Linked DNA regions of Elephas maximus indicus. The protein of the gene in region 3 interacts with the protein of the main gene of each other region in a pairwise test. Links are inferred from orthologs where the notes say so. Each region holds a gene or a part of one and is shown on either strand. Other genes may lie near its edges. The genes, in order: GPKOW, MTA1, SH3GL1 and EEIG1.

The links.
Region 1: the proteins of SH3GL1 (region 3) and GPKOW interact in binary tests that used the Homo sapiens proteins (3 or more experiments, as listed by UniProt). The two-hybrid records come from large-scale screens. The link is inferred for Elephas maximus indicus from reciprocal best matches to the Homo sapiens genes SH3GL1 and GPKOW.
Region 2: the proteins of SH3GL1 (region 3) and MTA1 interact in binary tests that used the Homo sapiens proteins (3 or more experiments, as listed by UniProt). The two-hybrid records come from large-scale screens. The link is inferred for Elephas maximus indicus from reciprocal best matches to the Homo sapiens genes SH3GL1 and MTA1.
Region 4: the proteins of SH3GL1 (region 3) and EEIG1 interact in binary tests that used the Homo sapiens proteins (3 or more experiments, as listed by UniProt). The two-hybrid records come from large-scale screens. The link is inferred for Elephas maximus indicus from reciprocal best matches to the Homo sapiens genes SH3GL1 and EEIG1.

The regions. Positions count from the first base shown.
Region 1 is NC_064846.1:122,468,686-122,475,725, reverse strand, and holds the start of GPKOW (G-patch domain and KOW motifs-containing protein), read right to left. Parts: upstream 3,008-7,040; 5' UTR 2,930-3,007; coding exon 2,754-2,929; intron 2,034-2,753; coding exon 1,876-2,033; intron 1,782-1,875; coding exon 1,657-1,781; intron 1-1,656. UniProt on the Homo sapiens protein: RNA-binding protein involved in pre-mRNA splicing. As a component of the minor spliceosome, involved in the splicing of U12-type introns in pre-mRNAs.
Region 2 is NC_064828.1:119,710,085-119,717,444, forward strand, and holds the start of MTA1 (metastasis-associated protein MTA1), read left to right. Parts: upstream 1-4,346; 5' UTR 4,347-4,383; coding exon 4,384-4,411; intron 4,412-7,360. UniProt on the Homo sapiens protein: Transcriptional coregulator which can act as both a transcriptional corepressor and coactivator. Acts as a component of the histone deacetylase NuRD complex which participates in the remodeling of chromatin.
Region 3 is NC_064821.1:7,416,084-7,423,836, forward strand, and holds the start of SH3GL1 (endophilin-A2), read right to left. Parts: upstream 3,005-7,753; 5' UTR 2,791-3,004; coding exon 2,746-2,790; intron 2,461-2,745; exon of another isoform or gene 1-2,460. Other genes in the region: CHAF1A (chromatin assembly factor 1 subunit A), read left to right, coding at 6,789-7,065. UniProt on the Homo sapiens protein: Implicated in endocytosis. May recruit other proteins to membranes with high curvature.
Region 4 is NC_064827.1:79,076,780-79,084,463, forward strand, and holds the start of EEIG1 (protein FAM102A), read right to left. Parts: upstream 3,008-7,684; 5' UTR 3,004-3,007; coding exon 2,858-3,003; intron 1-2,857. UniProt on the Homo sapiens protein: Key component of TNFSF11/RANKL- and TNF-induced osteoclastogenesis pathways, thereby mediates bone resorption in pathological bone loss conditions.

The DNA.
Region 1 (7,040 bases), on a different chromosome or scaffold from region 3:
CATATGAGGTAGTGATGAGTTATATGAAAAAAGATTAAGCAAGTGAAAGGTATGCAGAAGGATGGAGAAGGGAGTATCACTGAGAAATTGACATTTAAGCAGAGACCAGAAGGAGAGAAGGGAGGGAGCCATGAGGATATGGAAGGAAGAGGGCTCCAATCAGAGAGAGCAGTAAGAGGAAGGGCTCTGAGGCAAGACCAGCCTTGGTGTGCATGAAGTCTCATGAAATCAACATGACTGCAACAGAGATGAACAGGGAGGAGGGTGAGAGGGGCAGTAAGAGACTATCAGGAGTGCTGGGCAGAACTTTTGAGTATGGTGGGAGCCACAAGCAGGTTTTGAGAAGAGGAACCATGAGGAAGTTACTGCAGTCCTCCAGATGAGAGATGATGGGGGCTCAGACCAGGGTGGTGGTAGTAGTGATGGTGAGAAGTGGTCATATTCTGGATGTATTTTGAAAAGGGAGATGAGGATTTTGCTGGTGGATTGTATATGGGGTATAAAATGAAGAAGAGATTCAAGGATGACTCCAAGGATGACTGAGCAAGAGGAAGGATGAAGTTGTGAACAATTGATATGTGGAAGGCTGTGGGAGGAGATTTGTAGGAGGGAAAATTAGGGAAATGTGGCCAAAGCTGGAAGAGAATGAACAGTGAAGTGGGGGTGTTGTTGTTGTTTGTTTTTAAGAGCAATGAAACCAGAACACATTTGAAGGCTGATGAGAAAAGTTCAGTAGAAAGGGTAGTCTGGGGCTGTAAGAGAACTAGGCCCCCAAAAGGCACTGCAAAACATTTGTGAATGAAGAGGTAAAAAGTGGGGCCCATAGGGACAAAAGACAGACTTGGTTACTTCTGTGGACACACCCCTTACCTTTGCTGTTATCACCTCCCACTATCACCCCTCTCGATGCTTTGCATTTGCCATTAGCTCCAGGTCTACTACAAGTTGCCTCCCTGATGGACACAAACCATGCTGATTTCCTGACACCCGGCCTTTGGCCAGGCCATTGCTCCCACTAGGAGTACTCACCCTGCTCTTCCCCCTCTCAGTAAATCTCATCTATCCTTCCAGGCCTCACTCTGATCTAAGTCTCCATCATCTCTCGCCTGGACTATTGCAATAATCACCTCACTGGTCCACTTGCTTCTACCTTCACATACAAGTCTCTTCTGTTCACAGAAGCCAGAAGGTCCCTGTCAAGCTGTAAGTCAGGTCACCTTCCTCCTCTGCTAGGAGCCCTCCTATGGCTCTCACCTCACACACAGTAAAGCCGAAGTCCTTACCATGGCCCACAAGGCACTACATGGTCTAGCCTCCACTACCTTTCTGATCTCATCTATTACCCTCCCCTCCTTCATTCCATTCCAGCCAGCACGGTCTCCTTGGTGTTCCTCAAACACCCCAGGCAGAGTCTAACCTCAGGGCCTTTGTTTTTCCTGCTCCTTCTCCTCTACATCTCACTCAGTTAGCCCAAGAATCCATGTACTTTTTCCAAACCCCAGTATTTGGATTAAAAAAATGATTCTAAAAAGGATAAAAGGAGCAGGGGATAGGCAGCAGGCTTCTAATTCACACAGACTTTTCCTGCAGGGAGGCAAGCCTGGTAGATAGGGCGAAGAGGGGCTGGCGCAGGAGAGAGGAAAGGGGCCAGCTCACTGTCTCAGCCTGGGGTTCACTGTCTGCCCCTTCCCCACTGGGGATGCATCCTTTCTGGATCATGGGGATAGCGAGCGTGGGGTCGACACCTTCATTCTCTCTCTCCTCCAGAGACTTCTTGGATTCTAAGGAAGAACAGGAGGGAGCAATGAGGTACCACTCTACCCTTCCTCCCCTTCTGCCATTATTGGGGCAGGGTGAGGGGTAGAGGTCACTTACCCTCAATGAGTTCCTTCACAGCCTGGGACAGCAGCACCCCATCCACTAAGGTCTCAGCATCTGTGGATGGTCCAGGGGTCTGGGTCAGTAGCTGCCTGTGATGTCCATTCTGGATCAAAGGGATGACAAGTTCCTTAGGGGCTTCTGAGGGCTTCACACTGATGCCAACATAGAGGAGTGAGATTGGGAGAGTTAACGTGGTCAGTGGGTTCTGAGCCACATCCCTTTATCCAGAGAAAATACAACAGTCAAACTCATCCCCTGCCCCATGGAACATGCCCTCCATTCTCTTGAATGATTCTCCTGTTATGTCTCTGCTGGTATCTTCTCTGGATTCTTCCTCCTTCTCCAACTCTTAAATGGTTCCTTCAGAGAATCAGTTCTGGACTTTCTGTTCATTCCAAGACCCACTTCCATGGCTTCCACAGTGGCTCACCTTCGCCTTCTTCTAGAAGCCCCTCTCTCAGGTCCCTCAGGCTCCCCTTTCCGTATTAAGCTGATAAATGGCCTCCCTCAACCTGAATCTGCGGCTCTATCCCGTTCCCCATACCGAAGAAGCCCCATCGCTTCAGTTGAGACACTAGGGGATCCTGTCATCCTCCTCTCCTTTTTCTCTCTTAGAACGCACACACCTTAGGGTCCCCAAGTCCTAAAGACACTCCCTGTCACTAATACATCCCCTCTTCTCAATTCCCACGCTATCAGGCCCAATTTCCCCACCCCTCCTACAAACTCGCGCCTTCTCGCTTCCACGAATTTCCTCAGGCTGTGCTTCAGGCTTTCAAGGCCACCTTCACTATGACAAGCAACTCAGATACCGCCATCCCTCCTGAGCCCACCGCACCGATTTCCAGGGGGTGAGGGAACCAGCGCTTCACCTCTGCAGCTCCCTTCCCTCCACAGTCTTCAAGAAATCCTTCTCCTCCGGGGCGGCCCTCGCTCTGTCTCCTAGGTCCACCACCCGCCTCCGGGAGGACGTGCGACTAAAGCCAAAAGAAATTGGGGCGGTAGAGACCGCTGCCGGCCGCGAAACACCCTCTTCAGCGTCCGCCATCTTGCCCCGCTTGCCAGGTCGCGGGGCTGTTTGCCAGGAAGTTCAGTCTGGCTCTGTTCGTTGAGTGCCGGCCGAACAGCGCAAGAACTACCTTTCCCATAAAACACTGCGACCCCGGCGACGGCGGATATGGGGGCCATAACAACTAATGTCGCTCTTTTGGCACTTCATATGAAGGCGCCAAGACAAGCATCCCGGGAAATGTAGTTCTTCAGGGGATGGGTGTGCTGGACGAAAACAACAACAACACACCTTCGACTCAGAGCGACCTATACGGACGTGCTGGAAGGGCGATTCATTTCTAACCCACTGGCAGTTATTAATTCATTCATGTAGGCATATGACAATATTTACTGAGCACCTTGCCCTACTGATGTGGAAAGTGTAGATAAAATAAATCACTAAGAAAAAAATCACCATTTACAACAACATGTAAGAGAGAGAAAAAAAAAACCTAGGAATAAACCTAACCAGGTTCGTGAAGGACTTACACAATGAAAATTATTAAAAAAAAAAAAAACTAAAAGATTAAGACTTAAATAAATGGAAAGATGTTCCATGTTCTTGGGGTGGAAGACTTAATATTGTTAAGATGTCAATACTATCCGAAGTGATCTATAAATTCAACTGAATCCCGACCGAAATTCCAACAGTCTTCTTTACAGAAACAGAAAAATTCACCCCTTTACTTCACGTGGAATAGCAAGAGGCCCCGAATAGTTAAAGGAATGTTGAAAGAGAAGAACAGAGTAGGAGGACTCACGCTTCATGATTTTAAAACATATTATAAAGCTGCAATAATCAAAACTTCCTGGGACTGATATAACAATAGACACAGAGACCAATGGAATAGAATTGAGAGTCCAGAAATACACCCACAAGTCTATGGTCAACTGATTTTTGACAGAGGTGCTAAGTCCATTTCATGGGAAAAGAAGAGTCTCTTCAATAAATGGTGTTAGGGAAAACTGGATTTCCACATGCAGAAAAATGAAACAGGATCCATGCCTCACACTATATGCACACACAAAAATTCAAAATGGTTTAAGGACCTAATGTACAAAATGTTGTCATTGTTAGGTGCTGTGGAGTCGTTCCAACTCATAGCGACCCTATGCACAACAGAACGAAACACTGCCTGGTCCTGAGCCATCCTTACAATCGTTGTTAGGCTTGAGCCCATTGTTGCAGCCACTGTGTCAATCCACCTTGTTGAGGGTCTTCCTCTTTTCCACTGACCCTGCACCTTGCCAAGCATGATATCCTTCTCCAGAGACTGATCCCTCCTGACATGTCCAAAGTATGTAAGACACAGTCTCGCCATCCTTGCTTCTAAGGAGCATTCTGGTTGTACTTCTTCCAAGACAGATTTGTACGTTCTTCTGGCAGTCCATGGTGTATTCAATATTCTTCGCCAACACCACAATTCAAAAGTGTCAATTCTTCTTCGGTCTTCCTTATTCATTGTCCTGCTTTCACATGCATACGATGCAATTGAAACTACCGAGGCTTGAGTCAGGCGCACCTTAGATTTCAAGGTGAGATCTTTGCTCTTCAGCACTTTAAAGAAGTCCTTTGCAGCAGATTTACCCAATGCAATGTGTCTTTTGATTTCTTGACTGCTGCTTCCATGGCTGTTGATTGTGGATCCAAGTAAAATGAAATCATTGACAACTTCAATCTTTTCTCCGTTTATCATGATGTTGCTCATTGGTCCAGTTGTGAGGATTTTTTTTTTTTTTTTTTGCTGAGGTGCAATCCATACTGAAGGCTGTGGTCTTTGATCTTCATTAGTAAGTGCTTCAAGTCCTCTTCACTTTCAGCAAGCAAGGTTGTGTCATCTGTGTAACGCAGGTTGTTAATGAGCCTTCAATCCTGATGCCCCGTTCTTCTTCATATAGTCCAGCTTCTCGTATTATTTGCTCAGCATACAGATTGAATAGGTATGGTGAAAGAATACAACCCTGGCGCACACCTTCCCTGACTTTAAACCATGCAGTATCCCCTTATTCTGTCTGAACAACTGCCTCTTGATCTATGTAAAGGTTCCTCATGAGCACAACTAAGTGTTCTGGAATTCCCATTCTTCACAATGTTATCCATAATTTGTTATGATCCACACAGTCGAATGCTTTTGCATAGTCAATAAAACACAGGTAAACATTCTTCTGGTATTCTCTGCTTTTAGCCAGGATCCATCTGACATCAGCAATGATATCCCCGGTTCCACGTCCTCTTCTGAAACCGGCCTGATTTTCTGGCAGTTCCCTGTCGATATACTGCTGCAGCCATTTTTGAAGACAAAGTAAAGTATTATAATGACATGTGCAAAGAGCTGAAGATGGAAAACCAAAAGGGACAAACACGCTTGGTGTTTCTCAAGCTGAAAGAAGTGAAGGAAAAATTAAAGCCTCGAGTTGCGATAGTGAAGGATTCTATGGCGAAAATATTAAATGACACAGGAAGCATCAAAAGAAGATGGAAGGAATACACACAGTCATTATACCAAAGGAATTAGTTGATGTTCAACTTTCAAGAGGTAGCATATGATCAGGAACTGATGGTACTGAAGGAAGAAGTCCAAGCTGCACTGAGGGCATTGGTGAAAACAAGGCTCCAGGAATTGATGGAATATCAGCTGAGATGTTTCAGCAAATGGATGCAGCACTGGAGATGCTCACTGATCTATGCCAAGAAATATGGAAGACAGTTTCCTGGCCAACTGACTGGAAGAGATCCGTATTTACGCCTACTCTCAAGAAAGGTGATCCAACCAAATGTGGAAATTGTAGAACAATATCATTAATACCACATGCAAGCAAAAAATGTACAATATAAAACCATAAAATTCTTAGAAGAAAAAGTAGGGGCAACTCTGTCAGGCCTAGCTTTTAACAATGGATTATTTAATATAATAACAAAAGCACAAACAGCAAAAGACAAAACGAATAAATGGGACAAATAAATTAAAAACTTTTGTTCATCAAAAGACTTTACCAAGTAGCCTCTGGGGTGTTAAAAGCCTGTAAGCGGCCATCTAAGATACTCCACTGGTCCCACCCCATCTGGAGCAAGGGAGAATGAAGAAAACCAAAGACACAAGAGAAAAGTTTAGTGCAAATGACTAATAGACCACAGCTACCACAGCCTCCACCAGACTGAGTCCAGCACAACTAGACAGTGCCTGGCTACCACCACTGACTGCTCTGACAGGGATCACAAAAGAGGGTCCCGGACAGAGCTGAGAAAAATGTAGAACAAAATTCTAGCTCACAGAAAGACCAGACTTACTGGTCTGACAGAGACTGGAGGAACCCCAAGAGTATGGCCCCTGGATACCCTTTTAGCTCAGTACCGAAGTCACTCCTGAGGTTCATCCTTCAGTCAAAGAGCAGACAGGTCTATAGCGCCAACAATAACACATGTGAGGAACGTGCTTCATAGTTCAATCATGTATATGAAAATAATTGGCACAGCAGCCCAAAAGCAAAGATGAGAAGGCAGGAAGGGACAGGAAAACTAGACAAATGGAAACAGTGAAGCTGGGGTGGAGAAAGGGACAGTGTTGACACATTGTGGGGTTGGCAATCAATGTCACAAAACAATTTGTGAGTTGACTGTTTAATGAGAAATGAATTTGCTCTGTAAACTTTTGCTGAAATTACAATAAAAAAAGGAGCAGGGAATGAAAAAAAAAGAATCGTTGGTGCTGAGGAAAGATGTCCAAGCTGCACTGAAAGCACTGGTGAAAAACAAAGCTTCAGGAATTGAAGGAATACCAATTGAGATGTTTCAAAAAACTGATGCTGTCCTAGAAGTACTCACTTGTCTATGCCAAGAAATTTGGAAGACAGCTATCTGGCCAATTGACTGGAAGAAAACCATGTTTATGCATATTCTGAAGAAAGGTGATTCAACAGAAAGTGGAACTTATCAAACAATATCATTAATACCACATGCAAGTAAATCTGCTGAGGATCATTCAAATGCAATACATGAAGGGAACTGCCAGAAATTCAAGCCGGATTCAGAAGAAGACTCGGAATGAGGGATATCATCACTGATGTCAGATGGATCTTGGCTGAAAGCAGAGAATACCAGAAAGATGTTT
Region 2 (7,360 bases), on a different chromosome or scaffold from region 3:
GGCAGCCCCATCCCCTCAGCTTTGGCAGCAGCCGTATCCCCTGGCACACTTTAATGGCAGCCCCACACTTCAGAACTCAGTTTGTGAATATCTGACTGTTTGAAACCTAGGAGGTTGTGGCCCCACCCTTTGAGATCCAGGATTGCATGGCCCCATCCTTTGAAATCAAGAAGGCTTTGGTTCCTGTGCTCCTTCCAACAGTAATGCTGATTTCCAAGCTGATCTAGGAATGGTCCTTTTCTTTTCTTGGAGGACAACAAATGTAGCTTCTTTGGCCTTTTTCCTACCTGTAGAATTCCAAAAGGCAAACAGCATTCTTTAGTTCTTTCCCTGCCCCCTTCAGTTTAAGCTAGTGAGTTTTCTGCTGTGGTAGTTGGTTAGCTCCATCAGTCACAGGCTTAATCTCTTTAACACAAGATTGTGTAGCCACATCGTTGGTGAACATTCCAGGACACATGTCCTTAGCTTGTACAACAGAATTTTCCAAGTCTTTAAGTTCTGTTTTCATTTTGCACCATTCATTTTTAAGTCCATCTCTTTTTTTTACTATAAGTGACAAGGAGAAACTATGCAGCTCCTTTAAGATCTTGCTTAGAAATCTCATCAGACATATATCTAAGTTCATCATTTACAAGTTCTACCTTCCAACAAACATTTGAATATAATTCAGACAAATTCTTTGCCACTGCATAAAAATCATCACCCTTCCCCCATTGTCCATCATATGCTCATCATTTTCTTTTAAAGCCTCATCAGAAGCACACTTAACATTCACATTTCCATCAAAATTCTGTTGCTGGTGCCATATGTATCATCTAATTCATAGGGACTTTCTCTATAGCTCTTCTCACTTCCTGCCGAGCCCTCACCAGAATTGCCTTTCATGTCCATAATTCTACCAACGGTCTCTTAAAGGCAACCTAGGCTTTTACTATCAGTCACGTTAAAACTTTTCCAGCCTCTACCCATTACTCAATTCTGAAACCGCTTCCACATTTTAGGTATCAGAGTGGCACCCTACTCTCCTGGAACCAAATTCTTACTTATCTACTGCTATTATAACAGAAAGATGAATAACTTTAACAAACAGAAGTTTATTTTCTCACAGTTTAGAAGGCTAGAAGTTTGAATTCAGGGTACTGGCTCTAGGAGAAGTCTTTCTCTGTCAACTCTGAAGGAAGGTCCTTGTCTCTTCTGAGCTTCTGCTCCTGGGCAGTCTTCATGTAGCTTGGCATCTCTCTTCTCCCATCTCCACTTTTCACATGCTTGTTTAACCTCTTTTAGATCTCAAGAGATTAACTCAAAATACACACTACACTAATCCTGATTAACATAAGAAATACAACCCATTCCCAAATGGGATTATCATCACAGGCATGTTGTTGTTGTTAGGTGCCATCAAGTTGGTTCCAACTCATAGTGACCCTATGTACAACAGAACGAAACACTGCCCAATCCTGTGCCATCCTCACCATCATTGTTAAGCTTCAGCCAATTGTTGCAGCCACTGTGTCAGCCCATCTCATTGAGGGCCTTCCTCTTTTCACTGACCCTCCTTTTTATCAAGCATGATGTGAGACATAGTCTCGCCATCCCTGCTTCTAAGGAGTATTCGGGTCATACTTTTTCCAAGACAGATTTGTTTGTTCTTTTGGCAGTCCATGGTATGTATGTTCAATATTCTTTCCCAACACCACAACTCAAAGGGGTCAATTCTTCGGTCTTCCATATTCATCGTCCAGCTTTCTCATGCAAACCACAGGCATAGAGTTTAGGGCTTAGGACGCATATTTTTGAGGGACACAGTTCAGTCTCTGACATAGCCAGAGCCACTTTCCCAATCCTTGCTAGAATCTTCTGTGTCTTCGGCACCTTTCGTTCATGGCATGAGTTGTCCTCTGTGCCAGTAGCTCACCTGGACATTCATGGCATGAGTTGCTCCTCTGTGCCAATAGCTCACCTGGACATTCATGGCATGAGTTGCTCCTCTGTGCCAATAGCTCACCTTTCGTTCATGGCATGAGTTGCTCCTCTGTGCCAATAGCTCACCTTTCGTTCATGGCATGAGTTGCTCCTCTGTGCCAATAGCTCACCTGGACATTCATGGCATGAGTTGCTCCTCTGTGCCGCTAGCTCACCTGGACGCTTTTTTTGCTAGTCCTGACTTTTGATTACTTTGTTAGGTGTTAGGGGAAAGACATTTTATGCTGCAGCTTTGCTGACTAGAGGGGACGACTCCTTCTTTCACTGGTTTTGGAAACTTTGCCTATATATTATCGTCCCCTTCTGTGAAGTCCCTGGGTTGTGCAAATGGCGAATGCACTGACCTACCAACTGAAAGGTTGGAGGTTCGAGTCCACCCAGAGTTGAGGAAAGGCCTGGCGATCCGCTTCTGAGAGGTAACAGACTTGAAAACCCTGTGGTGCTCATCTCTACTCTGACGCACATGGGGTCCTCAGGAGTTGGGAGGCAACTGGCCTTCTCCTGCACCTAAGCTTCTCTTTCTTTTCTAGTCCCTTCCATCACAACCAAACGTAACCTCGACCCTGGTATCTGAAAGGAAGGGTCCCTCTCCCCCCGCCACTGTCCTTCCAGCTATGCTTCTTGGAGAACTGGTTGTCCTGCAATCCCTACTAGCCCCCCCTGACTGGGTCCAGTCTGGCCCCCTCGAGCCACCAAGACAGCCCTTGTAGCCAAGGCATCGATGAAGCCCCATTGCTCACTGTGGTGTTCCCCTTTCTGGTTTGCCTGGCCACTCCATGGCACATGATGCTTTGACCAGCTCCCTCCTTGGGAACCCCTTCCTGGCTGTCATTCCAGCCCACTCTGGCTCCCTTCGCACCTCACTGGCTCCTTCTGTACAGAACTTTCCGTGGTGGGGGCCCTCAGCGCTCTGCCCCAGGCCCCTTCTCATCCCCGCTCTGTCCTTGGGATCTTAGCACGACCACGGCCCTTGACCATGTCCCTCCCATCCCTTCCTGAACCAGCTCCCTCCTGAGTACCCCCGCCGCCCCAAGGCCTCCATTGGATGTCCCATAAGGATGTTCCTGCTCCCAAAGCCCTCACACAGCTGGGTGAATGGGGTAATAACACTTGTTGCTCCAGCTGCCCACCTGGAGCCACTCCTAACTCTCTTTATCCCTCTCTGACGCTGATGCTGGTCCGGGCTGGGACTCGCCCAGTCTGAGCTGCTGCCTTGGCCATCTCATGCTTCTCACTGCTGGTGGTATCTGGGCCACGGGATTCTCTATTCTCCCCAAACCTTAGCAAGTAAGCACAAAAACAAATACACGGTTACAAATTGTGACCAGCCTTGGGGCAAAAGCTGGGTGCCTCTCTGTGGACAGTGGGATCGTCTCTCCTGGCCTGGACTCTCCTGCCTTCCCTGTTCACTGGGCGTCACACCTCCCAGCCCCACTTTGGCCCTCGTGAGTCAATGAGGCCTTCCACAGGTGAGGCTGCTGGACCCTGGCCTCAGGCAGGGCCTTCTGGAGAGTGACCTCAGGGCCTTACCCACTGCTATTCCCTGCTCCTGAGACAGGGAGCCCTCAGCTGGGATCTGTGGAGTGAGTGAGAGGCAGTATCCTCACCGCTAACATTTACCCCTTATTATGCTGCGCCAGAGGCCCAAGCTAACTGCCCTGGACCCTCAGAACAAGCCCACCGGGGGGCCTGACAGAAGAGGAAACAGAGGCCCAAGACAGTCAGGCACTGTCCACATTAAGATGGGGCTGCTGGCCGTCTAGGATGTCCAGGGAACACCACAGGGCACAGGAACGGGAAGCAGCCTGAGGGGTGGGGACACCGGCTGAGAGGTGGGGGCGCCGGCTGAGGGGCGGGGGCCCGGGATGAGAGGTGGGGGAGCCGGCTGAGGGGTGGGGGCCCGGGATGAGAGGTGGGGGAGCCGGTTGAGAGGTGGGGGCGCCGGCTGAGGGGCAGGGGCCCGGCATGAGAGGTGGGGGAGCCGGCTGAGAGGCGGGGGAGCCGGCTGAGGGGTGGGGGCGCCGGGCGAGGGGCGGGGGCGCCGGGCGAGGGGTGGGGGCGCCGGCTGAGGGGCGGGGGCGCGGCGCGCGGGGTCGGATAACGGCCCGCGCGGTGGGCGGTGGCGCCCGAGGCCCCTCCCCGCGCCGCGCCGCCGCCGGCCGCTCCTCCTCTTCCTCTCCCGCCCGCGCCGGCCTCCCGTCCCTGCGCGGCCTCGGCGGCGGCGGCGGCGGCGGTGGCGGCGGCGGCGGCGGCGGCGGCACAGCGCGGCCCCTTTAAACCGCCCGCGGCCCCCGCCCGCGCCCCCGCACCGAGCCTCCATTTCCCGGCCGCCCGCCCGCCTCCCGCCTCCCGCCCGCCCGCCCGCCCGCCCGCCGGCCTCCCGCCGCCGCCGGCGCGGACATGGCCGCCAACATGTACAGGGTCGGAGGTAAGGCCGCGCCCGGGCCCGCCGCCGCCTTTATCCCCGCGCCGCCCGCGCCCCCGCGCCCCCGCCGCCGCCCCGGCCCTGCGCCCCGATGCCGGCCCCCGCCTCGGCCCCCCACCCCGCCCGCCGGGGACCCCGGCGCCACCCCGCCCCTCCCCCACGCAGGCCCGCCGGCCGCACCCCGCCGCCCGGCACCCGAACGCCCGGCACCCCAACGCCCGCCCCCCGGCGCCCGGCACCCCTGCCCTGCCCCTCCATCTTCTCTTCGGAGTGGCCTGGCCCTCGCGCGCGTCGCCCCGGCATGTCGCCCCGGCCCGAAATGGCCCCCGGAGGCCGGGCGGCGCGCTGAGCCGGCGGGAGGCGGGGGCTCTGCCCACCTGTTGGGGGCCGAGTGGGTGGTCTGTGGGGCCCCTGCGGAGGAGGCGCGCGGAGGCGCGGGCTGGTGGCGGGGCATCTCCGGAGGCACCTGGGTCCAGGGGCTTCAGCTGGGGCCTGGGGCCTGGGGCCAGGGGCTGTGGAGCCCCTCTGGAGCACGTGGCCTTGGAGGCTCCTCGTAGGCACCCTGGGAGCAGGAGTTTTGGGGTCCCCCTGGGGCTGTGCGGGTTGGCCCATATGCTGGGATGGGAACAGGTCCCTCTCGAGGGATAGGGTGCTCATGCGCCCCAAGGCCAGCATTCCTCCCTCGGAGCCCCTGGCACAGCATAGAGTGGCCCCCGGGACACCCAGAGTTGCTTGGGCTGCGTGCTTGCGTGGGGGCCCCACAGCAGTGTCCCCTTGCAGAGCCGTCATAGCACGCGGTCACCCAGAGCTTGTCTCTGAGTTGCCCCAAACTTTTCCCTGGCTCCCACTAACGCTAGCCCGTCATGGAGACACTTTGCAAGGATTGGGGAATGGGCACAGGGTCAGGGGGTACAGCCCCCAGATCTGCCTGTCCTGTGGTTCAGTGCCAGGAGGTCCCTAGCCTGGCCTTGCCCTCGGTTGTAGGGGCTCTGTGGGATCCTGGGGGTTCCTCTGCTCACTCTTTTACAGGGAACTGAGTAGCCATGCTCAGGCCCATGCTCTTCCCTGCTTGGACCCTCGGGTACAGCATCACCCCCAGACCTGCAGCTCTCCACCCCCCAGTCCCTCAGCCTCCTCACTGTGAGGGGCTGGGTGTGGTGCCCTGCTGTGGAGGTGTGTCAGGCCTAGGCAGTGCTGGGGTGGGGGGTGAAAAGGGGATGTTCCGTCTGTCCTCACTGCCCCCCACTGGCCTGCCCCCACCTGGTCACTCTGACCCTGGGTGCCCAGGACGCTTTCTCCCTTTCGCGATGGCTCTGCTGCTGGTGACTCTGGCAGAGACAGGCGTTTGGGGGTCCCCCTGGTCCAGCCAGGCGGGCTCTGACCTTGGGCTGGTTGCTGGCCTGCCGTCCTCACCCCCATCTGTCTTCTCCCTGGAGAGGTGCTGTGTGTCACCAGAGCAGGTACCCTCCCACCAGCCGCACCACCCCCCAGAGATGGGTGCCATTGCCCCTGAATGCGTGGCTTTGGGGGAGCACCATTTGTGGCTCCCTTACTCCCCACCAGCTGGGGTCCTCCTGTGTCCTGACCAGCTCCTCACTGCCCCTGCAGGTGCCCCTCTCCCTCCTCTGGGGTAGCTCCACTTGTCGTGCCCCAGAGCCCATTGGGCCCTGCCAGTACTACCAGCTGCCCAATGGTCCTGGGCTCAATTTCCATTCCACTCACAGGGCCCAGGCTGCCTTCTGCAGAGTGGTCTTCTCAGCAGCTCAGGTTCCCAGTCTCTAGCCCCTGATTTAAGGTCTCCTTGTTGAGTGAATGAATGACATGGTGGCTGGGGGTGGAAGGCCAGGGCAGAGGCCGGGTTCGGATTCCCTTGTGCTGGGCTGGAGAGGGTGGAATCAGGGCCGTGAGGTCACCCCAGGGCCGTTGGATGCTGGCCCCCTTCACCACTGAGCAGGTGCCCCTGGCCCAGAGCCCCTGCCCTGCAGCTTCTACAGCCCTCGTGGCCTGAGCTGGCCCTACGGCTCGCCGAGGGCCGGCCCTTTGGCCTGGGGCTGTGGTGGCGCTGGTGCTTCCAGGGTGCAGAAGGCCCTGGAACGGACAGCCTAGGGGAGTTGGCCCTGTGCAGGCTTCACAGTGTGGGTCCATGGGATGTGCCCCCACCCAGGCCAGCTGGAGAGGCCACCTGCAGAATGTGGCCTCTCAGGTCAGCCCAACCTGGTCCACACCTCAGGCCCCCCCAGGCCTCAGTTTCCCCCACTTGTACGAGAGCTCTGTCTGCCCTCCTGCTGTGTCTGGTTGTGTGCGGACCTTTCTCACCTCTAGGGAGACCTCTTCCAGGGAGGCCTGCCCGACCCTCACTTACCCAGGTTGTAGGGACCCAGCCCTGGTTAGGATACAGCACAGGTTTCCCAGCAAGTCCTGGTTGGGGCCTCCCATCCCTATGTCTGACCCTGGCCTAGCACCTGGTGTGGGCTTGCAGAGTGACCGGGCAGTGCCATGGGGGTGGGCGTGGATCCCCCAGCCATGAGATGATTGGGCCCTCCCTGAGTAAGGGGCTTTTTTTTCCCTTTATTTGTAGACGACAAAGCCGGTAGGTTAGGGTTCCTATCCCTTAATATGGAGCACTGCGCCCCGGCCATGCCCTCAGGATGCTATGGTGCCACAGATGTGCTGTGCCTCACTCTCGGTGGCCATGCCAGGCCCCTGGGGTGTCCGGCTGAAGCCTGATGAAGGCCCTGTGGCCCTCAGGGCCTGGATGAGGGGCCTGGGTCCCATACCCTACCCTCCCAGGAGCCCCCCGAGTCAGTCCAGTGGTTGTCCCACACCCAAGGGTGCCCTGAGGTCCGCCTTGTCACTGCCCCACGTTCAAATGGCACTCCAAAACTGCTGATCCCTCCCGAGCCTGCTTGGCAGCTCCCAGAGAACCATGCTTGTGGACTGGGCCCCAAGGTG
Region 3 (7,753 bases):
CCAGAAGAACCAGACGGCGTGCAACCACCGTCACTGAACGTTTGGTTCAAGGCATCGATCAACTAATCCCAATCAAAAGGGGGGAAAATGAGGAACAGGATTGCAAATTCTCACAGATGCCAGACTTACTGTACCTTCTGAGACGAGAGGAACCCCTGAATCTACCGTTCAGCGGAAATTTTCAAACTATGAACTGAAATTATCCCCTAAAATCATCTTTCAACAAACATTTAGCTAACTCAGCAGAGCATGTTCACCACGAGCACTGCGTTCTTTTAGAGAATTATCTATATGATATCCAACTGTCCACGCTAAAGCACAGATGAGAAGTTGAGGGGAGAGCGAGTCTAAGTCAGTGATGGCGAGACAAACAACATGGGCAGAGACAGCGAGAAAGGAGAGGGGATGAACGTAACGAGTGTTACTGAACTATACACGCAGAAACTAAGGAACAGGCCTAAGTTCTGTGGGGCATATTTTCACCAAAATAAAAATTAAAAAACAGAACAAAAACCGTATGGAACACAGTTCTACTCTGACATACGTGGAGCCGTGAGTCAGAATCAACTCCAGAGCAAATGCTTCTTATGTTCCTTCATTTTTCTTCCTTCTGACGACTCCAAGTTGTGGATGGTGCTCAGACAATTCCTAGGATCATCGCTTATCCCTCCCTGGAGTCCATCCACACAAACTCCACACCTAGGACTCTTAACCCGGGATGCACGGAACAACAGGCTTCAAGAGAGCTAGGGACCCTCTGAAATTAATAAACAAAATCTTGCATTTGCCCAGTTTCCTACCCACAGCTTTCATCAGATCCGTAAACAACGGGGCTTGGACTTTCCGAAAATATATATATTGTCTGTCAGGTATAAAATGCATATAATCTTGGATTCAGCGTTCTACTTCTGGGAATTTATTCTATATATCCAATCCTACCCACAAACAAAGACACTCACTGGCTATTCAGTATAGTGTTGTTTGGGGCAGAAAAGTACTGAAAATAATCTAAATGTCCACGAACAGATAACAAGGTAAATAAACCATAGAGGAGCCCTGGTTGTTCAATGGTTAAACGCTTGGCCGCTAATTGAAAGGCTGGTGGTTCTAACTCGCTCAGCTGCTCCACCGGAGAAAGACCTAGGGATCTACTCCCATAAAGATTCCAAAAACAAACTCACTGCTGTCAAGTTGATTCCGACTCATAGTGACCCTACAGGACAGAGTAGAACTGCCCCATAGGGTTTCCACAGCTGTGATCTTTACGGAAGCAGACTGCCACATCTTTCTTCCGCGGAGCAGCTGGTGGTTCCAACTAGACTTTTCACTGGCAGCCGAGCACTTAACCACTGTGCCACCAGGCTCTTGGATAGAGATTATAGCCAAGAAAATCCTATGGGGCAGTTCTACTCCATCACACAGGGTCGCTGCGAGTGAGAATCAACTTGACAGCACCCAACAAGAAGAACAATGACATACTCCATGGGATGGAATACTACATATACCTGTTAGAAAGATCCGAGAAGCTCTAGGGGGTTAGTGCAATCATTCTGGCAAGGAGGAAGAAAGAAAGGGAAGGTGATTCTGTCCCACTCTTCGCAGGACACTAGCAATGTCTGGAGACATATGTGGTTGTCGTGACTGGAAGTAATGCTACAGGCATCAACTGGGTGGAGGCCAGGATGCTGCTCAACACCCTAAAGTACACAGGATGGCCCCACCCCAGAGAAGGATAGGGCCTCACATGTCAATAGTGCTGAGGCTAATAAACCCGGCTCTAGTGCAATCTCCAAGCCACATTTAAGGAAAAACACAAGGTATACAAGAACATATAGAATGGTGGCACAACGGTTAAGCACTCGGTTGCTAAGGGAAAGGTCGGTGGTTTGAACTCGCCTGAGAGGCTCTGCGGGAGAAAGACCTGGCGATCTGCTCCCACAAAGATTACAACCTAGGAAACCCTACCATGCAGTTCTACTCTGTCACGTGGGGTCACTATGAGGCGAACCTTGATTCCATGGCACCTAACAACCATTGTGTGTGCCTTTTAAAATAAAGGTACACACACATCTTTGGAAGGAGACAAAAGAAATGGGTAACACAGTCCTTGTCCCTGGGGAGACGGACAGGATGCCTGAGGGATAGGGAGGGAGCCTAACTTCAGTCGAAATCGACTTCGTGGCACCTAACAACAACCAGAGCCATTGTGTGTGCCTTTTAAAGTAACGGTGCAGACACATCTTTGGAAGGAGATGTAAGAAACCCGTGACAGTCCTTGTCTCTGGGGAGAGGGATCAGAGGGACGGGCTGGGAGTCTAACTTTACCCTTTCCGGTTTGGACCAGCTCGGCCACAAGGATTTTTTAAAAATTGCTTTAGATACAGATTTTCCCTGCCCCCCGGGCTATCTGGCAAGAGTAGGTTCCGGTGTCGACAGCCTCCAAGCACAGTGCTTCCCCTTCTCCGCGCCCCCCCACCCCAACTTCACAGGGGAGAGGTGCCCGTCCCTGGGCAACTGTGGGTGCAGCTCTGCTCCGTCTCTGCTCACCCTTCTCGAGGACACTGGAGCCCCCATGGCGGGCAGGGCCTGCGCCCCCTCGCAGCCCCCCGCTCCTCCGGGGCGCCCCCACCCTGCGGGGGACACGTGCCAAGGCCGCCACCTCGGCCCCCTCCCGAGCCTGGGCTGGGCCCCGGACTCCCGGCAGCCTGTCGCTCCGCGCTCGGTCCCCGCTCGGTCCCCGCTCACCTGGCTCGCCTTGTAGAACTGCTTCTTCAGCCCCGCTACCGACATGCTGCCTCCCGCCGTCGGGCCTCCCGCCCGGACAGAGCGACCTGGACGGACCGACCGCCTAATCGACAAGTTCCCGGGCGCCACCGACCCCCGCGCGCCTCAGCGGCCCCTCCGGCGCCGCCTCAGCCGCTTTCTCTCCAGCTCCGCGCCTGCCGCTGCGCCGCCTCAGCCCTCGCGCGCCCGCGCGGCCAGGATATTACATGGCAACCGCACACTTCCGGCGCCGGCCCCCGCTCCCCCCGGCCTCTTCTGCGCACGCTCGCCCCCTGTCGGCCGGGGAGCGCACGCGCGTTTGGGCAGCCTTGGGAAGAGGCCGCCCACACCAGCGAGTGGCCCAGTGCGAGCCTAGAGGGGACGTCGCAGCTGCAGCTTCCCCTGCAGTCCCGGAGGTGTCCCTCAATTCCTAGGATAGGCACTGAAACCTTGGAAGTGGGGAGAGGGGGTGTTTGAGAAGTTAATCCCTGGTGGTGTAACGGTCAAAGTCTAGGCTGTTAACTGGAAAGGTTGGCAGTTTGAACCCACCCAGCAGCTCCGCGGAAGAAAGGCCTGGCGATTTTCTTCCTAAAGATTACAGCCTAGAAAACCCTGTGGGGTAGTTCTACTCTGTCACATGCCGTCACTAGGAGTTGAAATTGACCATAGCGTGCAACAACAACCTCGGCTATTCCCAATTCCTCTGTGTGTTTAGCCCCTCCCCCCACCCTGCTCTGTGTTCATCCATTCATTTGCCTAAGTCAGACATCTGTGTTTAGCGTCTACCTCCTTTCCACCATCCCCACTGCCCTTCTTGCCCTGGCCCAGACCATTCCACCAGCCTCCTTGCTGGTGTCCCCACCTTAAAATCATTCCCCACAAGGCAGCCATAAAGATGCTTCTATAACACAATTTAGATCGCATCATTCCCCCGTTTAAAATCCACCTACTGCCCTCAAGATATATTCCAAACTTCTTACTCCATCTGCAAAACTTGAATAATCTGGCCTCACCAACCTTTCTGACCTCAACTCTCTTCCTGTTCCATAATCAATGATCCCAGATGCCTATGGGCCTTTGCTAAGATTGTTTTTCTTTTGCATATTCTTCACCAGTCTTTCCCCCGTCCTTTGTGCATAAAAGGAAACCTTGGTGGTGTAGTGGTAAGTGTGACGGTTGCTAACCAGGAGGTCAGCAGTTCAAATCCATCAGGGACTCCCTGGAAACTTTATGGGGCAGTTCTACCCTGTCCTATAGGGTTACTATGATTGAAAGTGACTCAATGGTAGCGGATTTTTGTGCATAAAAGAGGACGCAGCTTGGCATGGCACCTCCTCCAGGACCCCTTCCCAGATCTGACACATGTTTGTTGATATTGTTTTTATCAATTGTTGTTGGTAAAATTTTTGTTGAATGAATTGGACATGAATAATGAATGGGAACGACCAAATGAATCAGAAAGAGACCCAAGAAAGTGATTAGAGCTAAAGGGCTTGTGATTTCTATGCTTAAATCTCTGAAAGGTGTGAGTGCTTTCCTGAAGGAAGAAGATTGCTAGGCATTTCCAAATACCTCAATTGAAGACATGTTATAATGCGGTAAATACAGGGTAGCTTTGCTAACTGCCTTATGTTTATACCCTTATGTTATGGACTGTATTGTGTCCCAAAAAAATGTGTGTCAACTTGACTAGGCCATGATTCCCAGTATTGTGTGACTGTCCACCATTTCGTGATTTGATGTTATTATCCTATGTGCTGTAAATCGTAACCTCTATAATGTTAATGAGGCAGGATTAGAGGTAATTCTGTTAATGAGGCAGTAATCAATCTATAGGATTAGGTTGTATTTTGAGTCAATCCCTTTTGAGCTATAAAAGAGAGAATGGAGCAGAGAGGGGAGGGACCTCCTACCACCAATCAACAGGAGGGGGACATGTCCTTTTGGGCCCGGCTCTCTGCAATGAGAAGCTCCTAAAACAGGGGAAGATTGATTACAAAGACTTTCCCCCAGAGTCAACAGAGAAAGAAAACCTTCCCCTGGAGCTGGCACCCTGAATTCAGACTTGAGAGAATAAATTTCTCTTTGTTAAAGCCATCTGCTTGTGGTATTTTTGTTATAGCAGCACTAGATAACTAAGACAATTTACCACCGTGATTCTCAACCAGACGTGATTCGCTACCCTCCCAGGAGACGCTTGGCAGTGTCTAGAGACATTTTTGGTAGTTACAACTCGGGAGGGGGGGTGTGCTATTGGCATTTAGTGGGTAGAACCCAGGGATGCTGCTCAACATCCTGCAATCCATAGGCCCCCTCCCCAAGCATGATCTGCCCCCCAATGTAAACAGTCCTGAGGTGGAGAAACCCGGCACTACCATGACATGTATCATCAAATGGCGGAAGAGCCTGCTGATGGGCCTATCTCCTGGAGGCATGGGACAAAGGTTTTATTCAGCATTGTAGTAGCACCTTGCCTGATGACAATCAATATTTGTTGAATAAATTAATGAATTTTTTTCCAGCATCTGGAGGGGACCTGACACACAGAGAGTACACAATGAGAGTTTATCGAAAGGATTAGAGATGAATTGGAAAGAATAGCAAGAATGTGATTAGGGACAAAGTACTTGGAACTTCTATGCCGAAATCTCCTAGATTTAGGTGATTTTCTGAATGCGGAAGGTTGTTAGAAGTTTCCAAATGGCTCAATAGAGATGCTGGACTAGATTAGTCAGAAGGTTGCTTCAGAATCTCCAGGAGTTTTTTCAGTACTGGCTTCACTCCCAAGATCCTTATGCACTAGGTGGTGCTGTTATGAATAGTTTGAGAAACCTCCCATGTGATTCTGACATACACCCTCAGCTGTGACCCACTGGTCTAAATCATCACAGAATGCCAGAATGTTAGAGACGGGACGGAAAACATCCTCATGATCCAGATGGAGAAACCTGAGTCATGTGACATGACCTGACTGAAATGATATTCCCCAATTTCCTATTTCTCAATGCTCCTCTCTCAACAAGTTCTACCGATTTAATTATCCAATCTACTGCAATAAACTTCCAAACTCAGGCTAAATTTCCCATCTTTCCTCACCCCTGTTTCTCTCAAACATTAAATGAGTGCTGAAGCAAACCTATTTCTAAGAATTGCAGGTTGACACTGAGGATCTCTACTGAGCGTCTCCTCTGTGTGAGGCTTTTAACCTGCGTGATCTCCACAGGTCAATCAAATGATATTTATTCAATCAGATATTTATTGAGCACCTACTATGTATGTAGAAGTCCTGGGGTAGCGGTGGTTAAGCTCTTAGGCTGCTAACTGAAAGGTGGGAGAAATATTTGGCAGTCTGCTTCTGTAAAGATTTATAGCCTTGGAAATCCTAAATTGGAAAATTAAATAAAAATTTTTTTTTTTTAGTAGACACTTAGAATCTCTAAGTGCTTAAAAAAAAAAAAAAGTGTTGTAGATGCCTGATCTGGTTGGGGGTGGAGAGGGAAAGTCTTCTCTGAGGTGTTACCTGAGATCTGAAGGTTAGGTACAAATTAGAAAGAGCTGCGGAAAGAGGGTTTTAGGCAGAGAAAACAGCATGTCCCGAGAATTTAACCCGAAACTTGCATTTCATTCGCTCCGAATATATTTACTACATGTCAAAGCCCTCTGAAGCGCTGCCCAGTTTTTATTTTATTGCTCATTAACAAGTAATTTGTAATATTAATTGCTGTTGGGTATTAAACTCAAAACTTCAGATCGTCTTCTAAACCGCAGTTTTTCAAGCTGTCACCCGGCGTCTTACGTGACACGTTCGCGTCATGACGTTAAGCCTGGCCCTCCCTCCCCCCTGCCGACTTATCCCACGCACTTCAGCCAATCACAGTGCTTATCTCTAAGCTTGACACCTTCCTTCGCCAATCGCAGGGCATGTTCTCTCAGCCAATGACAGGCTGCCGAGAGAAAGTTCCCCCGCCCGCGGGAATATCAATAGACGAGCCATGGGAGGAATGGAGGCAACGGCTCTCGCGAGGATGTTCCCGGCGCTCCCCTCTTCCCGAGACGGGCTATCACGTGACGCGCCCTCGCCCAATCGGCGCGCGTTCTGCGGGGGTCGCCGCGGTTCCCGCCAAATACGAGCGCGGCGGCCGCGGCAGCAGCGGCGCGGGCGGGAGGGCGAGCAGCAGCGGCCGCCTGAGGGGAGCCCGCGCCTCCGCCGCCTCCCCCGCCTGAGGAGGGATCGAGCCGCCGCCGGAGCGATGCTGGAGGAGCCGGAGTGCGGGGCGCCGGGCGCCAGGGGAGCCGCCGCAGGTGGTCGGACCGGGTCCGGGTCCGGGTCCGGGCCCGGGGGAAGGGGGGGGCGCGGCGCGCGGCCTGTGAGGGCCGAGGCGGCGGCTGGGGGCTCCGGGCCTCCGGGCTCCGGGCCTGCTCCTCCGCGCCGGGCGCTCAGCCCGTGGGGCCGGCCGTTATAATCCCGACCAAGGGCCTTGTGACCCGCAGGGCGCCCTGCTTGACGTTATTGTTGCGGCCGCGACCATGTTTTTCCGGCGCTTTTGCGTCAGTTCGTCTTTCCAGGGCTCTGGGGGGGTGACCGGTCCAAGTGGGGAAACTGAGGCCCAGGGAGGCAAAAAGGCCGGCTTTTGGAAGTTACCGAGTGCTTATGGGGCCCCTGAGCCTTGCAGCGACCTTCTGGTCGGGTGGGGAAACTGAGGCCCGAGACCACACGTCTGCGGGTCAGGGCAAGTCCAGGTAAGAGGGCAGGGTGGTGGGGAGTGTCAGAGAGCTGAGATCCCCGCGGTGCTGATCTTGCCTGCTATGCAAAATGATGAGCTGCCTTCTCCCCCCACCCCGTATTTGTCGAAGGGTCTTTCTGTCTGGCACACAGCGGGCCCCCCAAAACGTGGGGTGAACCACGGAAGACCAGACTGCCCGCCTCTCCCACCGCTCAACTCCCCATTGGGTCCCAGCACCTGGCACAATGCTTGGCACATAGTAGGCG
Region 4 (7,684 bases), on a different chromosome or scaffold from region 3:
TCCTATAGGTAGGGGAACAGAGGCTCCAGGGCCTAGGAGATCAGGCAAAAACTCAGTCTGGAGCTTGATATTAATTCCTTGGTGGTATCCAAGACCCTGCCCCTCAACACACATGCAGGCCCCCTGCAGAATCTACCTGGTCACTCTAAGATACGGAAGGAGCTGGGGCCTGGGACTTACTACCCATAGTAACCTCAACTGCTGCAGTACTTTACCTGGTATGTGGTATATATGGTATCCCCTGCTTTTCAAAAGTTTGCTTTATGCCACTTTGCTTTTACAAAAGACCTACGTTAGTACGTGTTTTTGCTAATGAAAAGAAATCCAAAGAGGATTTTCACTTTTACAAGAAAAGGTGAAAAGCGGAAATAGCGTTCAGCATTTGTTTTGTACCAGCACACACCCAGAGCAGTGAGAGTGGGGTTGCCAAGCTCCTTCTCCAGGAACTACACTCAGCATCTCATCATCAAGCTGCCATAGCTTTGAACTGTGTCTGCAAGCCTCTCTGTTTTGTCTCAATTTATTTTGTGCATCTGTTAGCAAGATGTGTCCAAAGGTATCAGAAAAGCCTAAGAGAGATCATAAGGGTTTTATGTGTTACTTGGTATGATTTGGCAGGTTATTTTTTGGGTCTTGGGAACATTCAAAAAATTTTCTCATATAAATCATCGGTAATTGCTTCTTCACTTTACACCATTTTGGCTTACGAAAGATTTCATAGAACTGCTCTACTTTCAGTTAGTGGAGGAAACCTGTATTATCCACTCCCCATCACAAGCCTAGGGAGGGTCTGATTTCCCCATTTTACAGAAAAGGAGACTGAGACTCAGAGGCAGAACAGGGTAGTGGTTAAAAGCACACCCTGAGTTTGAATGAATCTGGGCTCCAACATATCAACTCAGGCAAGTCGCTCCCTCTCAGAGCCTCGGTGTCCATTTCTGTAAAATGAGGATAATAATCTCACTCTCCCCTCCCCACCTCTGCTCCATGGCACAGTCACGGGGTTAAATGAGAAGTACTTATAAAATGGGGAACACAGCACCCATAAATGCTGGCTCTTAGAATCAGAGAGGCTAGGTAATTTGCCCAAGGTCACACAGCCAGTGAATGGCAGACTATAGGCCCTAGCTCCGGACACAGCCTTAGGCCCGTTTGGGTGGCTGCAGACAGCCGGCTTCCCAAGCAACTGAGGACGGTCCCTGCCCCCACTGAGAAGGGCAGGCTGTCCGAATTCCTCAGATAAGTGGCTCCCAGCAGAGCGGGGAGCCTCCAGGCCTCAGCAGCGGCCAGAGCACACAGAAAGGGCGTCCTATCCTGCCCACACAGAGATTCCCAAACTTGGAGTAGGCTACACACTTCTTTCCCTTCCTCCAGCAGTGCATTCAACCTCCGGATTCATCCAACAGGTCCCCAAACAGGCCAAGTTAGATTGTCAACTGCCACCTGCAAGGTTCCTGGCAAGCCACTTCTTCCTCCCTCTGGGCCTTGGTTTCCAGGTCTACAGCACACACCCTCACCCTTGAACAGTGAGCCAGCTCTGACTAACTGAACTCACAAGGAAGCCTGAAGGAGCAAAGGGACATACCAGGGAAGAGAACTAGCATGTCCCAGGCATTGGACCAGGCTCTGCATTGCATTATCTTTCACTGAAACTTCAGAGCTCTCTGAGAAGGGACTTGTATTAGGCCTGTTTTCCAGAAGAGGAAACTGAGGCCCAGAGAGTGATTGAACCAGGATTTGAACTCCCATCTGTTAGATTCCAAGGGTCTCTCCTGAGCAGGCCAGAACTAGGTTGGGGGGGAGGGGACCCAACCAGCTGGGCATAGTCCAGGAACTCTGTCACCTTCAGCAATAAGCTGGGCAGCTGGACCTGCCAGGATGGGGAGGGACACAAAACCCAACTGGAAAGAGCCTCTTTCAGAGCAGACAGCAGCCTCCTGTACAAGGATATTTGCAATGCAAAGTAGCCCAGCTCTAGCCAGAAAGGGACTCAGTGGGGACTCAAACCCAGTGCCATCCGGTGGATTCCGACTCATAGCGGCTCTATAGGACAGAGCAGACCTGCCCCATAGAGTTTCCAGGGAGCGCCTGGCGGATTCGAACTGCCGTCCCTTTGGTTAGCAGCTGTAGCATTTAACCACTACGCCACATTAAACCAAAAAAAAAAAAAAAAAAAAAACCCACTGCCATCGAGTCGATTCCAACTCATAGCGGCCCTATAAGGCAGAATAGAACTGCCGCATAGAGTTTCCAAGGAGCACCTGGCAGATTCGAACTGCTGACCTTTTGGTTAGCAGCCATAACACCTAACCACTATGCCACTATGCCACATTGGGAGGGCCAAAATCCAGTCACCTCCCTCCAGCCACCCAAGGCCTTCCCAGCCACTGGGGAGTGCTGGGAAACCTGCGGCTGGTGAAGGCTCTAAATCATATGACATCTCAAGTGGCCAGCTGGGGTGCAAGGGCAAGTGGGGGGGCTGTTCCAGGTGGCATCCCTCCCCCTACCATCCTCTGAAGGCACAAACTCCATTGGGCTCATTGGGCAAGTCTGTAGAATAGGTCTACTGAGGGCTGCATGCAGGGCCCCAAGCGCGGGCTGAAAGAATAGACCCCCCAGATATCCAGCCGGTCACCTGCAGCCCGGCACCCTGCCCGCTTCTTCAGGCCCAAGCCTCCCAATCGGCCAGTCCAGCATTGTGCAATCCCTTGAAGACACACATACACAATCCACAGGACTCTCCCTGGCCCCCAAAGGGGCCCTTTCACTCTTGCCAAGTGGATGTGTTTCGCTCATCACTCCCCTCCCCTCCAGGCACCAGGCTTCCACAGGGGCCACAACCACCCCCAGCTCCTACCTTGACGACAAGCTGACAAAATCCCCGCCATCCAGCAGCCGGACCTTGCAGAAGAGGACCCCGTTCACGAAGGGGACCGCAGTCAGCTCTTCCAGGGTAAAAGTGGTTTGGAATTTGAATTTCTTCTTTTTCATCAAGAAAGCCATGGGCGAGTTCCCTGAGTCTGAAGCCCCGAAGGCCAAGGAAAAAAAGGGGGCAGAAATCCCCAGGATTCCTTTCCCTACACCACACCCCCTCCTCAAAACACTAGAGCAGGATCCCGCCCAAAAGGTGGCGGAGGCGGCAGAACGGGTGGGGGTCTGAGTGTCCAGTCCAGTTCGCGGGTCAGCTGGCTTCACCCGCGGGGGGCCGGAGCTCGGAGGGGCTCGGAGCGGCCGGGGGCTTCACCGGCATGTAAACAGCGGGGCATGGCCCAGTAGGCAAGAGCAGGGGTGACTGGCGGTGCGCGAGCGGCCGCGCTGGCGGGCAGCATCCCGAGCCGCGGTCCCCGGGGAGCTCACGCCGCGCGACCAGGCGCGGCGGGCGGACCGGTGAGACTGAAAGCGACTGGGAGACCGGCGAGGCTGAGGGCTGAGGGCGGCCCCGCCCCCGCCCCGTTGGCGGCCGGGGGAGGCACCCTCGCCGCGCACACGCCCCCGCACCTGGATGCCAGGCGGCCTGCGCAGGTGAGTGCAGGGGTAAGCTGAGAGCACCCCCAGGGGGCGGCCGGGAGCTCGGGGGAGGGCCTCTCCAGGAGACACGTCGGGGGCGCTCCGGACCGGGGTCTCCGGTCCGGAGTCCGCGCTCAGGCCGGGAACGTCCGGTCGTCAGCCTCCTCCGGGCGGGCCCCGGGCCCGGCCCTGGGCAGCGGGGACGCTGCCTCCTACTCGGTCCTGGATCCCGCGCTGGGGGCCCTGGCGGAGCTGAGGCACCTCTCCGGCCCGGCCGGTGGCGCTCACCTCGCCCGCCGCCTCTGCCCAGCACCCCGTGAGCAGCAGCGCTGCCGCCTGCGCCCCCGACGTCGCTGCCGCTGCCCGCCCAAGCCCGACGCTGCGCGGCGCCGCTGCGAGAATGCCGAGGCCCTGCGCGGCCGCCCGCGGAGCCGCCGCTGAGCGCGGGAGGGGCGGGGCGCCGGCGGCCCAGCCTGCCCGTGATTGGGCGGCCCGGCGGGGCGGGAGCGGAGCAGCGTCCCTGTTTCCGATTGGTGGATGGCGGCGTGAGGCGGGACTCGCGGGAGACAGAGGCGGCTAAGAGCCTTGTGATTGGTGTGCTGCACAGCTGGGTCCGCCTCCTCCGCTGGGGCGGGGCGGAGGGAAAAGAAGAGGGGCCCCGGGAAGGCTGTGGGAGGTCGCGGGGCGGGGAGCTGGGTCTGCTTGGGCAGGGAGGAAAGCGCGAGTAGAAGAAAAGAAGAAACAATGAGGAGGAGAAACGGTATGAAAACTATCGCTGGAACGGCCTTCCAGTATTCCTGCAGATTTCAGGCCCAGAAGATAGTCCCATTTTTTCAGAAAACTGACTTGCAGAGGGGTAACCGGGACTGGACCCAAGTCTTTCGTCTCCAAATCTTAACTTTAGAGCACTGAAAAGTGTCTGAATAGGCTTCACCGAGGTGACACAACCTTGTGACCCAGCTTCTTTCATCCCAAGCTGTTATCCAAGCCTTTTACTGTCGTTTAGTTTCTTGCCTAGTTATAGCTTGTTTCCCTGACTGGATTACCTAGTTGCTCTGGAGGCAGGGACTGCTTCCAGAGCCTCGTATCTCCTGACACAAAGAAGGCACTCGACGTACTGTATAGTTCATTCATGCAGGTCCCAAATGTTTAGCGGGTAATCTGCTCTGAACCAGGCTCTGGGACTTAACATGAGCGCCATGGGCCTGCCCTCTCCAGGCTCAAGATAGAGAAACAGATGAGGACACAGGCAGTTGTAAATCTGATGGATAAGAGCTGTAATACTGGACATGCAGTAGTCTAGAAAGAAGTATAGCCACAGTGCTCCTTGGAAGGGAGGATGGTGAGATTTCATCTCATGTACTTCGCACATGTTATCAGAAGGGACCAGTTCTTGGAGAAGGACGTCATGCTTGGTAAAGTATTGGGTCAGCGAAAAAGGGGAAGACCCTCGAGAAGATGGACTGACAGTGGATGCAACAATGGGCTCAAACATAGCAACGATTGTGAGGATGGTGCAGGACAGGACAGTGTTTCTGTTGTACATAGGGTTGCTATGAGTCAGAACCCACTCGAAGGCACCTAACAACAACAGGGGAGCTCAAAGGAGGGACCTGAGGGGGAGACAGGGTGCTCAGAGAGAAGGCTTCTCACATAAGGTGATGCAGGCCACCTGCAGGATGCATGTAGGATCCAGGCAGAGAGCTGCATGTACAGAGGTCTGGTGGCCAGAGAGAACGGAGTGCCTACAGAAAGTTCCAAGTCCCAAATGGCTGCATTGTGATTTTAGAGAGAGGCAAGATATGAGACTAGAAAAGCCAGCAGCAGCCGTATCCTACAGAGCCCTTGTAGACCAGAGTGAAGAGTTTAGATTTTCCCAAGGGCACTGGGGGGCTACTAACAGGTTTTAAGCAGGTCAGTAACATGTCAGATTTGCTTTTCATTGTAAGAAGCTTTCTCTGGCTATAGGTAGTGTGGAGAGGAGATGGGAAACAGATACGGGAGTGAGGGACCAGATGTGGTGATCCAGGCAAGAGATGATGATAGAATTTCAGTACTGGGGGGAGAACGGGACAATGGATCTGAGAAGCATTCAGGAGGCAGATTAGGCTGAATTTAGGGATGAGTTAGGTCTGGACATGTAACCAAGGACTCAAGTTTCTAATTTCTTCCCATGTTCCCCTTTCAGCTTTCCTAGGCATAAAATGAGTGGTGATCCGTGCTTCTCTCAGTTTCTCCCATCATTTAGAAAACACAACCCAATGGGAGAAAAATGATAATAGCAACTCCCAGTGCTACTATTTATTCCCATTTACAGAAAGGGAAATTGACGCCTGAAGAGTTTAAATCACTTCACTAAGGTCTTGACCCTGGAGTGCAGTTTCTAGAGTGCTAAGCTTTTTTTTTTTAAGCTGTGCGCCCACTCTTACCCTCTCTGAGCCTGCTCCATGGGGGTAGAGCCTGTGGCTTCTCACCCCAGGGAAGATTTCAGAAGAAGGAACCAGCCAACGATGTCCTGAGGCCTGACTGATTCCTGGGCTGTGACCATGAATAACCTCTGGCTGCCCCAACAGGAAGCAGAGTGGGCCTGACTACCAGACTTAGCACGGGTTGGGCATTTATCTCCCTGCAGCCTGTGGGCTGGGAACCCAGGAAGTTTCTCTTGCCTTCGCTTCTCAGTGAGGGAGGAGTGGTGCCAGGGCAAGATGCTGGATTTGGGGTGAGACAGGCCTGAGTTAGAATTCTGGCTCTGCTGCAATGGGCAGTGTAGCTTTGGTTTGGAATATTGAGGCTCGGAGGGGGGTCATTATGGTATGATTGGGACCATTTCCCCTGGAGCCAGTAGACCTGGGTTCTAAGTCCAGCTGGCACACTATTGACTGCCTATGTCACACAAACTTTATCCATCTCTAAACCATAGTTAACCCTGTAAAATGGGAATAACAATACTACTCTTTCTAGAGTTTTGTGAGGACTTCGGGATGCTGTTCCTGTGAAAAGCTCAGGCCTGGAGGGACACAGGAATCTGAGCAGGAAACTCCAGCCCAGCACTTCCACTTCCCCCAGCAGCCCAAATTCCCAAGCCTGGCATGTCCTACCTTCTTGAGACGCTAGACAGACATAAGGGCTCCTTTAGCCTTGACCATGATTTTGAATAATTATTACCATTGCTCAACAAGGGGTCAGCTCTTCCTCTGAAACATGTCCTCAGAAATGTGCCCCTCTTCTCTCCCTTTTGCTCTGTCTCCACTCTGGTCTGAGCCACCAGAGTCTCCTGCTGGGATGGCTGTAACAGCCTCCTTACCTGTTTGCCTCCTTCTGTTTTTGCCCCCTGACAATCCAGTCTCTGCACAGCAGCCACAGCGAGGTGAGAGTGCCATGGAAGGGACGGTTGGTGTCAGAATTGGTAAAAAGGGGAGAATGAGGAAGCATGTGTGACCTCTGCCTATAGGAATCAGCCTAGGGCTGTTGATCTTTTTTATTTTTATTTTTTATTGTACTTTAGATGAAGGTTTACAGAACACAGTAGTTTCTCATCAAACAATTAGTACACACATTGTTCTGTGACATTGGTTAACAACCCCACAACATATCCACACTCTCCCTTCTCAGCCCTGGGATCCCTATTACCAGCTTTCCTGTTCCCTCCTGCCTTCCAGTCCCTGCGCCAGGGCTGGTGCACCCCTTCAGTCTTGTTTTGTTCCATGGGCTTATTCAGTCTTTGGCTGAAGGGTGAGCCTCAGGGGTGGCCACATTACTAAGCTGAAAGTGTGTCCGGGGGCCGTACTCTCAGGGTTTCTCCAGTCTCTGTCAGGCCAGCAAGTCTGGTCTTTCTTTTTGAGTTAGAATTTTGTTCTACATTTTTCTCCAGCTCTGCCAGGGACCCTTTATTGTGATCCCTGTCAGAGCAATCAGTGGTGGTAGCTGGGCACCATCTAGTTGTACTGGACTCAGTCTGGCGGAGACCATGGTAGATGTGGTCCGTTAGTCCTTTGGATTAATCTTTCCCTTGTGTCTTTAGTTTTCTTCATTCTTCCTTGCTCCCGAAGGGATGAGACCAGTGAAGTATCCTAGATGGCCGCTCATAGGCTTTTAAGACCCCAGATGCTTCTCACCAAAGTAGAATATAGAACATATTCTTTATAAACTATTTTATGCCATTTGAGCCAGATGTTCC